Linked DNA regions of Oryctolagus cuniculus. The protein of the gene in region 1 purifies or fractionates together with the protein of each later gene. This does not show direct contact. Links are inferred from orthologs where the notes say so. Each region holds a gene or a part of one and is shown in the gene's direction. Other genes may lie near its edges.

Region 1 (6,651 bases):
ACAACTGTGGCTAGGCCAGGCTGAAGCCAAGAACCTGGAACTCCCTCCTGGTCTCCCACTTGGGCCAGGTGCATTGGCAGGGAGCTGGATTGGAAGTTGAGCAGCTGGGCTCAGAGGGGATGCCAGCATTTCAGGTGGCAGCATAACCTACCATGCCCCAACACTGGCCCCAGATAGTTGATGTCTTAAGTGGATCCTTCCAGTTTGTGAACATACCATTATCCCTCCTGTTAATTTCAACCAAGTCATGTCATTTTTGGTATAAAGGTCTTGCATGATTTTATTAAATTTATCTCAGAAGTTTTATGTCTTTTAATGTTGCTTAAATAGCAGTGTACTTTATTTTCCCAGTGTTTATTTCTAGTATACAGAAATGGTCTGTGTATTTGTGTCAGTATACTGACCTTGTGCCCTACAAATTTGCTAAATTCACCTAATAGTTCTGGTAGCTTTTTGGTAGCCTCCTAAGCATCCATGTTTACAATCATATTATTTGCTAATAGAAATGGTTTTGCTTGATTTTTTTTCTACATTTAGTTCTTTTTTATTTATTTTTCTTGCCTTAATGTTCCAAAACTTCTACTACAGTGTTAAGTGAAAGAGAGAAGAGAGGGACAGCCTTGTCTCATTCCTGATCTTAGGGGAGAAACATTCAACCCGAAAATTATTTTTATGTAATAAGATAATCTAGCTCGTGTCCCAGGTCATTGGCCAGTTATCCTCCTAACCCTGTTGAATGACTCAGCCTTTCCCCACTAGTCTGAAACGGCTCTTTTAGCACCTGTGCAAGTCTATTGTACATTTGTGTCTGATCTCCTTTTGGTAAAACATGTTGCATCGATACAGCATAATGGAAGTTAGAAGGGGGGTGTTTAGTATGGTGCCAGAGCTTTATAGTCAGCACATACGTAGTACTTCCCAAAGTGGAGGGGGCACTCCAGAGAAATTGGAGGACAGGAAGGCCGGACAGCTGGCCAGCAGCTAGCGTGGTGGTGTTTTAGAGAGCTTGTCTGAGGAAAGTCACCATGTTGCCAGGAAGAACGCGTTAGTGACAGACCGGGGTGGTTCCAGACGGAGATGAGACCAGTTGCAGTTGCCCAGAGCTCAAGGTGGCCTAGTGGGAGGGTCCTTGTGAGGAGGAGGATGGGTGTTTCAGCAGCTGTGGTGCTCTGGGATGGCTGACATGGGCATCGCTGTGTGTTTGACTCTTAAGGCAAAGGCCAGGATGGAACCGGCAGCAAAACAGAGAAGACGCTGGGTGACTTTGCAGCCGAGTACGCCAAGTCCAACAGAAGCACATGCAAGGGGTGCATGGAGAAGATAGAAAAGGTGAGAGCCCAGGGCCCCGGGGTCTCACTTTGCGAATCACTCACATTGAATGTTGCTGGCTGTCTCAAGTAGGGCTTTAGCTCAACATAAGCAGCTAAGTATGAGGATCTTAGTAGAGGCTGGAGATGACAATGCCTCTTCTTCCAGACAAGCCTGGCACTGCTTACTCCTGGTCCAGTGCTGTGTGTGTGGCTCCATCCACCCACCCGGAGGACACTGGGAGAGTCTGGGCCTCCTTTAGACCCAGCAGTGGTGGGGAGGAAGGCTGTTTGTGTCCTGGAAGGGTTAAGTGAGTGTTTTCCCTGGTGTGAGTCTCCAGCTTTCTTTAATCTACTCAGAGGAACTTCATTACCGTCCCCACTAATTCTCGTCCCTGAAGGCTGACAGCCAGTGAGATGGAATGGGGGCCGTCCAAGGAGCGGAGACACAGGCAGAGGGAAGACCCGTGCCCTCCAGCCTTCTCACCCTCCTCTGATGTTACATCCAAATACTAATTGATTCACTTACGGCGTTGATGGAGAGTTGCTGCCTCCTCAAGGGTGTTGTGCAGGAAATCGAGTTGAGCCAGTGAGAAAACCGTGGAACTGCTAGATCTTCTCCAGCCGTTTCCAACCACCAAAACTGTGGGGCAAGAACGACGGTCCTCTTCCCTTGCCTGGCAGTGCCGGGCGCTGCCTGGCATGAGTTAGGGAGAGCAGCAGCAGCCCCATGCTCTGAGTTCTCTGACGAGAAACTTGCAGGAACCCCAGGCCTGATCATTGCAGGACTGGGTTCTTGCCTTTGGATTTATTACTGAGTCATAGGGGGGCTTCCTAAGTGTACAGTCCAAATTGTCCATGAGAAAGTGGGAATGAGCAAAAAAAAAACTGGCTCTGCCCAGTGTACCATGTCAGGTTTTCCTGTGCCTGCCCCAGGTCGGGGAAGTTCTCCTGTGTCCAGGCAGGTAGGCCAACAGCATAATTTGGAATTGCCCCTATTAAAGATGTAGGTGCTGAGGTTGAGAGTGGTGCACAGTCCTGGGGGGCACAGGAGAGCCATGACCTGCCATGGCCTTTGAGTTGCTGGCAGAGTCTTGGCTTGGACCACGACCCCTCACTGGCTGGTGTGGAGCCTGGCCCCTGATGTTTACCCTCCTGCCATGTCATTCCCTAGAAACTACACGTGCTTTCCCCCTTAGGGTCAGGTGCGCCTTTCCAAGAAGATGCTGGACCCAGAGAAGCCACAGCTGGGCATGATCGACCGCTGGTACCACCCGAACTGCTTTGTCAAGAACAGGGAGGAGCTGGGTTTCCGGCCCGAGTACAGTGCAAGTCAGCTCAAGGGCTTCAGCCTTCTCTCTGCAGAGGATAAAGAGGCCCTGAAGAAGCAGCTCCCGGGGGTCAAGAGTGAAGGGTAGGTAGAGCACAGGGGGCCTGGGGGCTCTGGGGATTGGTGAGGGGCCTTGGGGGCCCCAAGAGCCCTCCAGATTTCACAGCTCTCCTGCGTCCCTTTGCTGACTGTCAGAAAGCCAGGGAGAGGCAGGCTGAGGGCCGTGAGAGCAGAGCTGTGGGAGTAGGGGGCAGGATAGAGGAAGACTGCAGGGAGCATCCAGTGCCTATTCCTATAGCTGTAGCCCCTGCCAAGAGCCCACTCCCCTCGAAGGTCTGCTTCCCAGTCTGAGTTTTCCCCTTGCCTGGGGCAGCTACCACATTTCCTCCAACCCACTCATGACCCACCTTCACAGGAGTGCGTGTGAATTGTGTTCCTGTGTGTCGGTCTCTAGGAATGGTGCTGGGAAAGTCTCAGCCATTTTTAAATGCAGAGTGGACCATGGGTAATAAGTTCCTGGCTTGGAGTTGGGGATGGTACAGATCTCTTGTGATGTTTTCATTTAGGATGGGAAGGATCATCAGTGAGGGTCTTCAGTCTGTGGTCACTGCCTAGTCCTTCCCGTGGACCCTGTGCGGGCTCCTTGGCCCTGACCTAGAGGTGCTTGCAAACAAGCACACTGCGCAGTGTGGCAGGGTCGTGTGCCCTGTGCTGCTTGGACAGCAACCGGACCACCGTCATGGAGCAGCCTTCGTAACGTCTTTTCAATTCACAGCACACAGATTGTTGAAGTGACAGTGGGATGAGTGAGAAAATGGAAAGTCCCTGGGGCATTGCAGCACGTGACGTGTGCCGCAGTTCATGAGCCACTCTCCTGCCATAGTGGCCAGAGTGTGCTGAGCACGTCTGATGGGTGCTATGCTTGGGCTGTTGCATTTGCCCATCACCGCGATCCTCAAAAGTCAGTGGCAGCCTTTTCCTTATTTTGTGGGTGAGGTGAACCCAGGCCTGCATGCCAGCTGAGGCTGTGTCTTAACTGCTGGGCAGAATGGCTAGTTAGCAAGGCTCCGACTTTGACTGCTTCTGCTTCTGAGCAGTGTGGCCCAGCCTCTGAGAACAGCTCCTTGGCCTTGGGGGCAGCCCTGTGTTTTGAGCTCAGAAGGCTCCGTTCTGGTGCTTGAGTGGGCTTACCTCCTGCTTTCTTTGTTCCAGCCAAGAAACAATATGGGGTTTTTGACATCGATGGCTCTTGAGCCTTGGATCTTGTTCCAAGGCCCTGGAGCAACCCACAGCCCCCTTGCTCAACTGGTAGATTTTCTTCTGAAATAGATAAAGTCTCCTGCCTTGGTGGTTGCAGGTGCTGCCCAAGGAGAGACAGTGAGCTCCTAAGAGCACTGAGCAGGATGCATGTGGGGTGAGGGCACTGGTGAGAGTGAGCAGGGCCCAACAGGTCTTAAAATACTCCGTCCTGCTTACATGTTGGGTGCCTGAGTTGTTCCGGCCCTGGGTCTTTGTCTTACATCCCATGTCTCTTGCAGAAAAAGGAAAGGGGATGAGGTGGATGGAATGGATGAAGTGGCCAAGAAAAAATCTAAAAAAGAAAAAGACAAGGAGAGTAAGCTTGAAAAGGCCCTCAAGGTAAGTTCTGTGGTCTCAGTTCTGTAACTTCTAGCAAGAAAATTCAGGGAAGTGTGTCCCACTCACTAGGACCTGCCAAGATCACAGCTGTCACTAGGTAGCCTGACTTTGCCCCAGCTTGTTTTGCTTCCCTCCTCTTCCCTCAGAAGAGAATATGCATTGGGCTATGGGTGCCAGAGCTATAGCCAGGCCCAGGCAGGCACTGGCACCCTGTCCCCTCTCCCCTGCCTCACCTCAGGATGGTGGAGATGGCAGCACCTGCCAGGTCTCTTGCATACACTGGAGGCCAAATGTTGAATTCAAGGAAGCCAGAGATTCTTAGCATAGACAGATTGCCTGAAGAGGTAGATTTCCCACGTTTTTACAATGAAGATCTCTTGTTTAAAAGTAAAAGGGATAATGGTAACAGGGGAGAAGACTGTTCAGTCGATAACCATTGACCAAGGAGAGTCATCATGGTATTGATTATGCTACAGGTGGTGAAGCAGTGTGAAAATTATCAGTCAGAAAATGCTGGGTGTTGGAGAAAGTAGGGGCAAACAGTCAGAAGTCAGTCTCTGAGGACCATGATTTCCATGAGCCATGTGCTCTTGTCTCTGGTATGAGTACTCAGGTTTTGCTTGTGGTATGAAAATTAGCACGTGATTCTTACAAAAGAATCACAGATTTGTGTTATGGGGAATAAAAATGTCCGCTCTGCATCACATCTGGCTGCAGTAGAGCCACAGCCCATAGTGCATTTGCCCTTCAGTCCCTGTGCTCTCTCCCTGATGTTGTCAGAGATGGAAAGAAAGAAACTCAAAGTGCTTCCCCACGCTTGCACCTCTGTTTCTGCTGGCTCATCTGGTGTTGGAGGTTCAGGAGTTATTCCACTTGCATTTGACCTTGTACCCAGGACTTCCTTGAAGTGCAGGGTGTCCCACCATGTGCTGAGGGAGGAGGAGGAGGGCAGGGGAGATTGTTGAGTCCCTAACAGTGGAGCTGGGAAACAGGCGCAAATGTGAGTGACTGCAGCTTTGAGTCAGTGTTCATTTGGTGCTGATGGTGAGTCTGTGGGTATCATAGGGTTGGCATTTTCGTCTCCATTTTTTCACATGGAGGGAATCTGAGGCCAAGAGGGTGAGTCCTACAGAGAGAGGAGACCCCCTGGCCTCCACTCTAAGATGGGGAGGCCCATGCTCTTCCCAGCCAGGCACTTGTGAGAGTAAGTGAGGTGACCTGTCAAAGTACACAACAAAGAGCAGGCCCTTCATAGACATTAAAAACTTAAAAGTCCTTTTTCAGGAGAACTTAAATGTGTCCCTGCATGGTACTGAATTGATACACTATTAAGAAATTAGTGTTCGGAATCATTCCTACTGTCAAATTGGTAGAGGGGCAGACATTTGGTAAAGCAGTTAAGACACCACCTGGGCTACCCACATGCCATATTGGAGTGCCTGGGTTCTAGCCCTGGCTCTGCTCCCAGTTCCAGCTTCCTGCTAATGTGCACCCTGGGAGGCAGCAGGTTAGGCTCACATACTTGGGTTCCTTCCAGCCATGTGAGAGACCCAGATGGAGTCTTATTTTGGTGTGACCCAGTCCCAGCTGGTGGTAGCATTTGGGAAATAAACCAGCTAATGGAGGCTCTCTGTAGATATCCTTTGTGTGTGTCTGTCTATCTGTCTCTGCCTTTCAAATAAGAAAAGATTGACAGAGAACAGGCACACCCTACCTCCTTTGGCCTCTGGCTATTGGTGGTCGACACATGTGGGCCATTTAGCACTTACAGGCCCCTGTGTGTCTTGTGGGCTTGGTTTCTGAGGGATGCATTCCAGGGGCTTTGGTGACTTTGTTACGTCCTTCCCCACACTTGTTAATGGTTTCTTCCCCACCTTGCACAACTCTTTGAGAGCCCATGCTTCATATTCAATTTGAGACCTGCTGGAGCATGGCAAGGACTTAAAATCTACTGCTCAGACCGTCTTTTCGGGAGAGTCAGTTCAGCTAATCCTCTGGTGTGTGCTTGAGGCCAGGCATGTCCAGGGGTATACTCTTCCTTCAGTTGAAAAGAGAGGCCTCTCACTCAGCTGCTGGGTCTTGTCCCTAGGCCCAGAACGACCTGATCTGGAACATCAAGGATGAACTAAAGAAAGTATGTTCGACCAATGACCTGAAAGAGCTGCTCATCTTCAACAAGCAGCAAGTGCCTTCCGGGGAGTCGGCGGTGAGCGGCCTTAGTGTTAGAGCGGGACACGCCTGTGAGGCCGACTGTCCTAATGGAATATGCGAGGCCCTCCGTTTGAACACCTACTGGTATTAGCTGCGAGGAGTAAAACCTCGGTGGTCATGTTGTACAGTCATCACTGCCATTGTGGTCACCATTTCCCCAGGGGC
Region 2 (6,259 bases), on another chromosome or scaffold:
GAGAGCTGGATTGGAAGAAAAGAAGCCGGGACTTGAACCATTGTCCACATTGGATGCCGGCACTGCAGGCAGAGGATTAACCTTTTGCGCCCCTACCTAGTGTCTTAACCTCTGCAAAACAGCGCCCTGCACTTTACATTTCAAGAAAAACAAGCCGGCGCCGTGGCTCAACAGGCTAATCCTCCACCTTGCGGCGCCGGCACACCGGGTTCTAGTCCCGGTTGGGGCGCCGGATTCTGTCCCGGTTGCCCCTCTTCCAGGCCAGCTCTCTGCTATGGCCAGGGAGTGCAGTGGAGGATGGCCCAGGTGCTTGGGCCCTGCACCCCATGGGAGACCAGGAAAAGCACCTGGCTCCTGGCTCCTGCCATCGGATCAGCGCGGTGCGCCGGCTGCAGCGGCGGCCATTGGAGGGTGAACCAACGGCAAAGGAAGACCTTTCTCTCTCTCTCTCTCTCACTGTCCACTCTGCCTGTCAAAAATAAAAAAAAAAAAAAAAAAAAAAAAAAAGAAAAACAACTGCTCGAAGGGTGACTCCTGGTGGGTGGCTCCCCTTGTTTCAATCACAAATTGGGCTTTTAAACACTTCGAGGGACAAGTGTTTGATGGCTGCATCCCATGTCGAAGTGCCTGGGTCATGTCCTGGCTGCTGCACTTGCCATCCGGCTTCCTGCTGATGCCCCCTGGGAGCACAGATGATGGTCAGGTAGCTGGGCCCCTGCCATTGACATAGGAGACCCAGATTGAGTTCTGGGTCCCTGGCTTTGCACGTGGACCAGCCCTGGCTGGTGTGGGCATTTGGGGAGCTGACCAGCAATGGAAGATCCCTCCCTCTCTCAAATAAAATGAAAATAAATCTTAAAACTCTTAAAATCTTTGCATACAAAGCACCGGGAAGAAAAAGGTCCAGTCAGCTGCTCCCGGGAGCCTCTTGTCGCAATGAGCAGGACTTCCCTGAGCAGTGGCCACCAGCTTGGGAACCACCCAGGCCTGTGGCAGGCTCTTCCTGTGTGACCCAGGAGGCCGCCCGCCTGTTGTCTGCTGCCGCCTGCTTTGGCCATCTCTCAGTGCCCCGGCTTCCTCACCTCTAAAGTGGAGCTGGAAATGATGCCCGCTGAGGGCCAGGGATGACCCCACGTTTGTCACACGCTGAACACACTGCCACAGGCCGGCGGGTGCCGCGGGTGTGAGCCCGCGCCCTGGGAGCCGGGAGCTCGGCGTGAACACACTGCCACAGGCCGGCGGGTGCCGCGGGTGTGAGCCCGCGCCCTGGGAGCCGGGAGCTCGGCGTGAACACACTGCCACAGGCCGGCGGGTGCCGCGGGTGTGAGCCCGCGCCCTGGGAGCCGGGAGCTCGGCGTGGGTCTTTGAAGTGTCTTTGCTGGCAGGAGTCCTCAGGAGAAGCCGACTTTGGCTCCCAGAGGGAAAGTGATTTCCGTCTGGTTTTCCCTTTCTAAAACGGGACGAGGAGGGAGGCGAGGGAGGACGCCCGGGGCCTGGATGGGCAGCTGGACAGCAGGGGTCTGTGGAGCGGGCAGGCCAGGAAAGAGGCCCCGAGCGCCTGCCGGATGCGGGGCTCCTGCCGCCCCAGCGGCCTCGTGCCTCCCTCCGGACTCCACATCCCGCCCCCAGGTACCTCATGGCAGGACCCAGCTCCAGCAGCGAGGACGAGGGTGGCTCTCACAGCGGCGGCAGTGGGGACGAAGCCCCCAGGCTTCCCCGGAAGGTTTGACCAAGGCCCTGCCAGTGGGGAGGGGGACAGGGAGTTACGTGGTTGCCCCAACTCCCCACCCCAGCCCCCCACATACCCACACTGCCCCTCCTTCCTCAGCGTCCCCAGACCAAAGCCAGGCCCCCTCAGGCAGCTGGACCCAGCTCACCCCAGAGGCCTCCAACCCCCAAAGAGACCAAAGCAGCCTCACCCGCTCCCCAGGATGACACAGACACTGAGGGGGAGCCGTCAGGTCAGAGTCCGAGGGAGGAGGGCTGGGGCCGGGGCCCCTGGGTCCGAGGGAGGAGGGCTGGAGATCCAGACTCCCGTGTGTAAGGGGAGAGGGGTCTGGGGGGTGGGTGGCGGGTCACCAGATGCCAGGCGGCGAGGTGGGGAGAGGGCTCCAGCCTTGCAGAAGACACAGCACCTCCTGGCACTCACCGACTCCCACTCGCAGGACAAGACGATGGGGCCGAGGATTCTGGGGACACGGAGGACGAGCTGAGGAGGTAGGGCCGGGCTGGGGTCAGGGCCGGGCTCCAGGGCTGCGGGGCATCTGCCCCACCTGCTCACCCGCACCCCCTCGGCTTCCCCAGGGTGGCGGAGCAGAAGGACCAAAGGCGGCCCCCTGACCAGGGCGAGAACGGCGAGGACCCGTACGCGGGCTCCACTGACGAGAACACGGACAACGAGGATGAGCCGGAGCCGCCCGACCTGCCAGTTCCTGAGCTCCCAGGTGGGGCTCCCTCCGTCCCTGCTGCGGGCCGGTGCCGTCCGTTCTTGCCTTGACCCGGCCCAGCCAGTCCGGGGGTCACTTCACTGCTGGCTCCCTCTTCCTCCTCGGCCGCCTCCAGGCCTCTTCCCTGTCCCTGTGGCTTACCCATGACATCCCCTTTTGTCCCCACCCCCTCTGCCTCCTCCCCTCCAAGCCCAGTGCCAGGGGTGACCCCTTGGACATGTCCCCCAGGTGAGTGGCCGCCTGGGCTGGTGCTTCACCCACCCCCCGCAGGTGCACCTGTCGGGTGGGGGGACACGGGCACCGCTGTCCATTGGAACCTCGGTGGGCATGCCTGTTCACTTTAACACTAGTCATCATCCTGGACCAGTGGCCACGGGTGTGGCGGGGGCAGGAGCCAGAGCCTCCTGGGTGGAGGGGAGGCCCAGGCCACTGAGCAAACTTGGCAGCTGGCTCCTCATGGGTGAGGGGTGCGCTGTACTCTGATTCTCCAGAGCCCCCAGGTAGCATCAGTCGGTGGCCTGGGAAGTCACGGGAATGGAGAGGAAGGAAGCCACCCGGGGGTGGGCGAGAGGACGCTGCCTGGGGAGGAGGGAGCCCCAGAGGTGGGTGCAGCGTGGTTCTGGGCTCGCCAGCAGGGGCCCGGGATCGCGCCTTCCCTCCAAGCAGAGAAGCAAACCAGCAGCCTCCGGGGGGCGCTGTTGGGCTGGGCACCACTGCCTGCCGCCCCGTTTGGGCCCAGCGTTCTCTGGCTCCTGGCCGGTGTCGTGGCACTGGTGGGGGCGGGGGCTCACGCTGCCTCTTCTCCGCCTCTCGCAGACTTCTTCCAGGGCAAACACTTCTTCCTGTATGGGGAGTTCCCCGGGGACGAGCGGCGCAAGCTCATCCGATACGTCACCGCCTTCAACGGGTCAGTCTCCAGAGGGTGGGAGGGCGCAGGGTCGTGGTGGGAGGAAGAAGCTGGGGAGGGGGAAGGGCCGTAGTCCACAGGGGGCGCGAGCCGTGGAGCGCAGGGCCCGCGCTGTCCACAGCTGCAGTCCTGCGTGCGGTGCTTCCCTGTCCTCTGCTCTGAAGGGCCGCTGTCACTGACCGGCCGCACCGGCCTCTGGGAGAACGCGGGCTCCGCCAGCAGGGGGCAGAGGGTGGGAGGAGGAGCCCGCGGCTCCCGGCCCCGCCCACAGCCTCTCCCCCACCCGCCAGGGAGCTGGAGGACTACATGAGCGACCGCGTGCAGTTCGTGATCACGGCACAGGAGTGGGACCCCAGCTTTGAGGAGGTGAGTCCTAGAGGGGCAGACAAGGGGGGCCTCATTGTCCTGCAGCCCTCCCTTCCGGAACCCCATCCTCCCCCTCTCCCACCCGCAGGCCCTGATGGACAACCCGTCCCTGGCCTTCGTCCGCCCCCGCTGGATCTACAGTTGCAACGAGAAGCAGAGGCTGCTTCCGCACCAGCTCTACGGGGTGGTGCCCCAGGCCTGAAGAGTGCGGGGCACACGCGCACACACGTACATACACGCACATGTGCACACGCACACGGGAGGTGGGCTTAATAAAGACGACTTGGTTTGCAGCACCTGCCCCTTGGCACACAGGAGTCCCCCACGCCTGTCTCCTCTCCCCCGTGGGGCCAGGAGGAGATGGCCCCTCCGTCTGGGGGGGCAGGGCTCTGCCTGTTCTCCCCGGCCCCACCGCCCGTGTGGGAGAGCAGGGAGCTGAGAATCTGATGGTGCCGCAGCCCAGGGAGCCTGTCCTGCCACCCGGTCCTCCCGCCGTGGACCGTGGGCTGGAGGCCTGGACGGCTGGACGCCCGGGAGGTGTGCTGCTCTCCAGGGGCCTCCCCTTTGCCCCAGGGCCTCCAGAAGCCGCCGGGGGCATCACCAGTGTGGTTTCACCTCACCTCATTTAGGAGGTGGGTGGGAGGGGGGCCCTTCAAGGCTCTACCAGTTCCAAGTGAGAGCTGAGCTGTGTCAGGCAAGCAGGCAGGGGCCGCGGCATGTGCAAAGGCCAGGGGGCGGGAAGCAGCCCAGGGCAGCTGGTGGAGGACTGCTGCCCTCTGTTTCAGGGGCACGTTCAGCGGGAGCGGGCCCAGTCCTCGCAGCTGTGCCGTCCCGGGCAGCAGACACAGACACCCGGCTGGGTAGTTTTGTCTGAGAGGCAGGGAAGCAGTGGGCAAAATGAGCTCCCATCGCCGGCGCCACGGCTCACTAGGCTAATCCTCCACCTGTGGTGCCAGTACTCCGGGTTCTGGTCCCGGTTGGGGTGCCAGGTTCTGTCCTGGTTGCCCCTCTTCCAGGCCAGCTCTCTGCTGTGGCCAGGGAGAGCAGTGGAGGATGGCCCAGGTGCTTGGGCCTGCACCCCATGGGAGACCAGGAGGAAGCACCTGGCTCCTGGCTTTGGATCAGTGCAGTACAGCGGCCGCAGTGGCCATTTGGGGGGTGAACCAATGGAAGGAAGACCTTTCTCTCTGTCTCTCTCTCACTAACTCTGCCTGTCAAAAAAAAAAAAAAAAGAGCTCCCACCTGCTGGTTTACTCCCCAGATGGCTGCAGTGGCCGGGGCTGGGACACTCCCTGTCTCCCACATGGGCGTCAGGGCCGTTACCTGAGCCGTCAGCGTTGCCTCCAGGTCTGTAGTAGCAGGAAGCTGGAGTCGGGAGCCAGACTCGGGAAGGGCACCAGGCACTCCGGTGGGGGCACCAGCATCTGGAATGCTAGGCTAATCAGCTGCCCCACAGGTGACCATTTACCTCATGTGAGATGAACTCCATTCCTTGGGTCACACCGGCCATGGTGGCTCCCCGTCCCTGAGGGGCTGTCCTGAAGGGCCGTGAGCACCAGGCCGGGGGCTGAGCAGAGCCAAGGCCAGGGTCAGAGCTGGGCTGAGATCTGACCTCTGGGGAAACTTCTTGGGCCGTCCCAGCCCCTGTACCCCTGTGCCGCCTCAGCCAGAGGCCAGCGGCCTGGCTCCGTGCACGTGTTCGTTCCTGCACACATGGACGGGCCACTCCTGTTAGCATGTGCTGTGATGTCACAGGTGTGTGGCTCGAGACAGCAGACACTGGTCATCTAGCAGGTCCTAAGGGCAGAAGTTTGACGTGGACTTCGCTGGGCTGATAGTCCGGGCGTGGGCAGGGCTGGGTCCCTTCCAGGGAGTCTGCTCTCCCTCTCCCACACCCCTCCCGTATTCAAGGCCAAGGACAGGCAGACTCCTCCCTCTCAGCCCTCCACATTGAGACCTGTGTTTACGTTGGGCCCAGCTGGACCTGGTACGTGTCAAGGTCTGCTCAGTAGCAGCCTTCATTTCCTTCTTCTGCCTATGTCTCTGCCACGTGACGGGTCCCCAGGTTCCGGGGATGATGTGAGCGTGTGTGGGAGGCCCTCCCTCTGCCTGTCACGCCTGCCCCGGGAGAGATGACAGTCCCTGACCTCATGGGGCTGACACTGCTGGGGGCAGACCCTGGGAGATGCAGTGGGAGCCGATAAGGCAGGGCAGGGGCAGGGTGGACTAGGTGGGCCTTGGGAAGGCCTCTCAGAAGACCCGCCCCCTCTGCAGGGACCTGGCAAAAGGGAGGGAGACTGGGAGCTGCCTTCCAGGCCCAGGAAAGTGAGTGCAGGGCCCTGGGGCAGAAGTGCCCTGGCTGTTCACGGAGCAGCAGGACTCGCACTCTGCCCCTGCCCCATTACCGGCTTGTGTGTCAGTCTCTTCCCTCTGGCCTCACTTACCCCTGCACAAAGCAGGATTGAGTCAGATCGTCTCTCTAGTGAGTGCATCCTGGGAACTTGGAGCAGCTGTCCCAGGACAGCTCCCGGAGAAACAC

Evidence for each region. Proteins that work in one complex are often made in the same cells at the same time.
Region 2: the proteins of PARP1 (region 1) and XRCC1 purify together in Homo sapiens (affinity purification with western blotting; 9 studies listed by BioGRID and IntAct, with this or other methods). This does not show direct contact. The link is inferred for Oryctolagus cuniculus from reciprocal best matches to the Homo sapiens genes PARP1 and XRCC1.

Annotation. Positions count from the first base shown.
Region 1 is NC_091444.1:39,036,697-39,043,347, forward strand, and holds part of PARP1 (poly [ADP-ribose] polymerase 1), read left to right. Parts: intron 1-1,213; coding exon 1,214-1,329; intron 1,330-2,506; coding exon 2,507-2,721; intron 2,722-4,175; coding exon 4,176-4,275; intron 4,276-6,364; coding exon 6,365-6,481; intron 6,482-6,651. UniProt on the Homo sapiens protein: Poly-ADP-ribosyltransferase that mediates poly-ADP-ribosylation of proteins and plays a key role in DNA repair.
Region 2 is NC_091449.1:12,348,785-12,355,043, forward strand, and holds the end of XRCC1 (DNA repair protein XRCC1), read left to right. Parts: intron 1-1,629; coding exon 1,630-1,723; intron 1,724-1,828; coding exon 1,829-1,961; intron 1,962-2,165; coding exon 2,166-2,217; intron 2,218-2,304; coding exon 2,305-2,444; intron 2,445-3,263; coding exon 3,264-3,354; intron 3,355-3,644; coding exon 3,645-3,720; intron 3,721-3,808; coding exon 3,809-3,922; 3' UTR 3,923-4,013; downstream 4,014-6,259. UniProt on the Homo sapiens protein: Scaffold protein involved in DNA single-strand break repair by mediating the assembly of DNA break repair protein complexes. Negatively regulates ADP-ribosyltransferase activity of PARP1 during base-excision repair in order to prevent excessive PARP1 activity.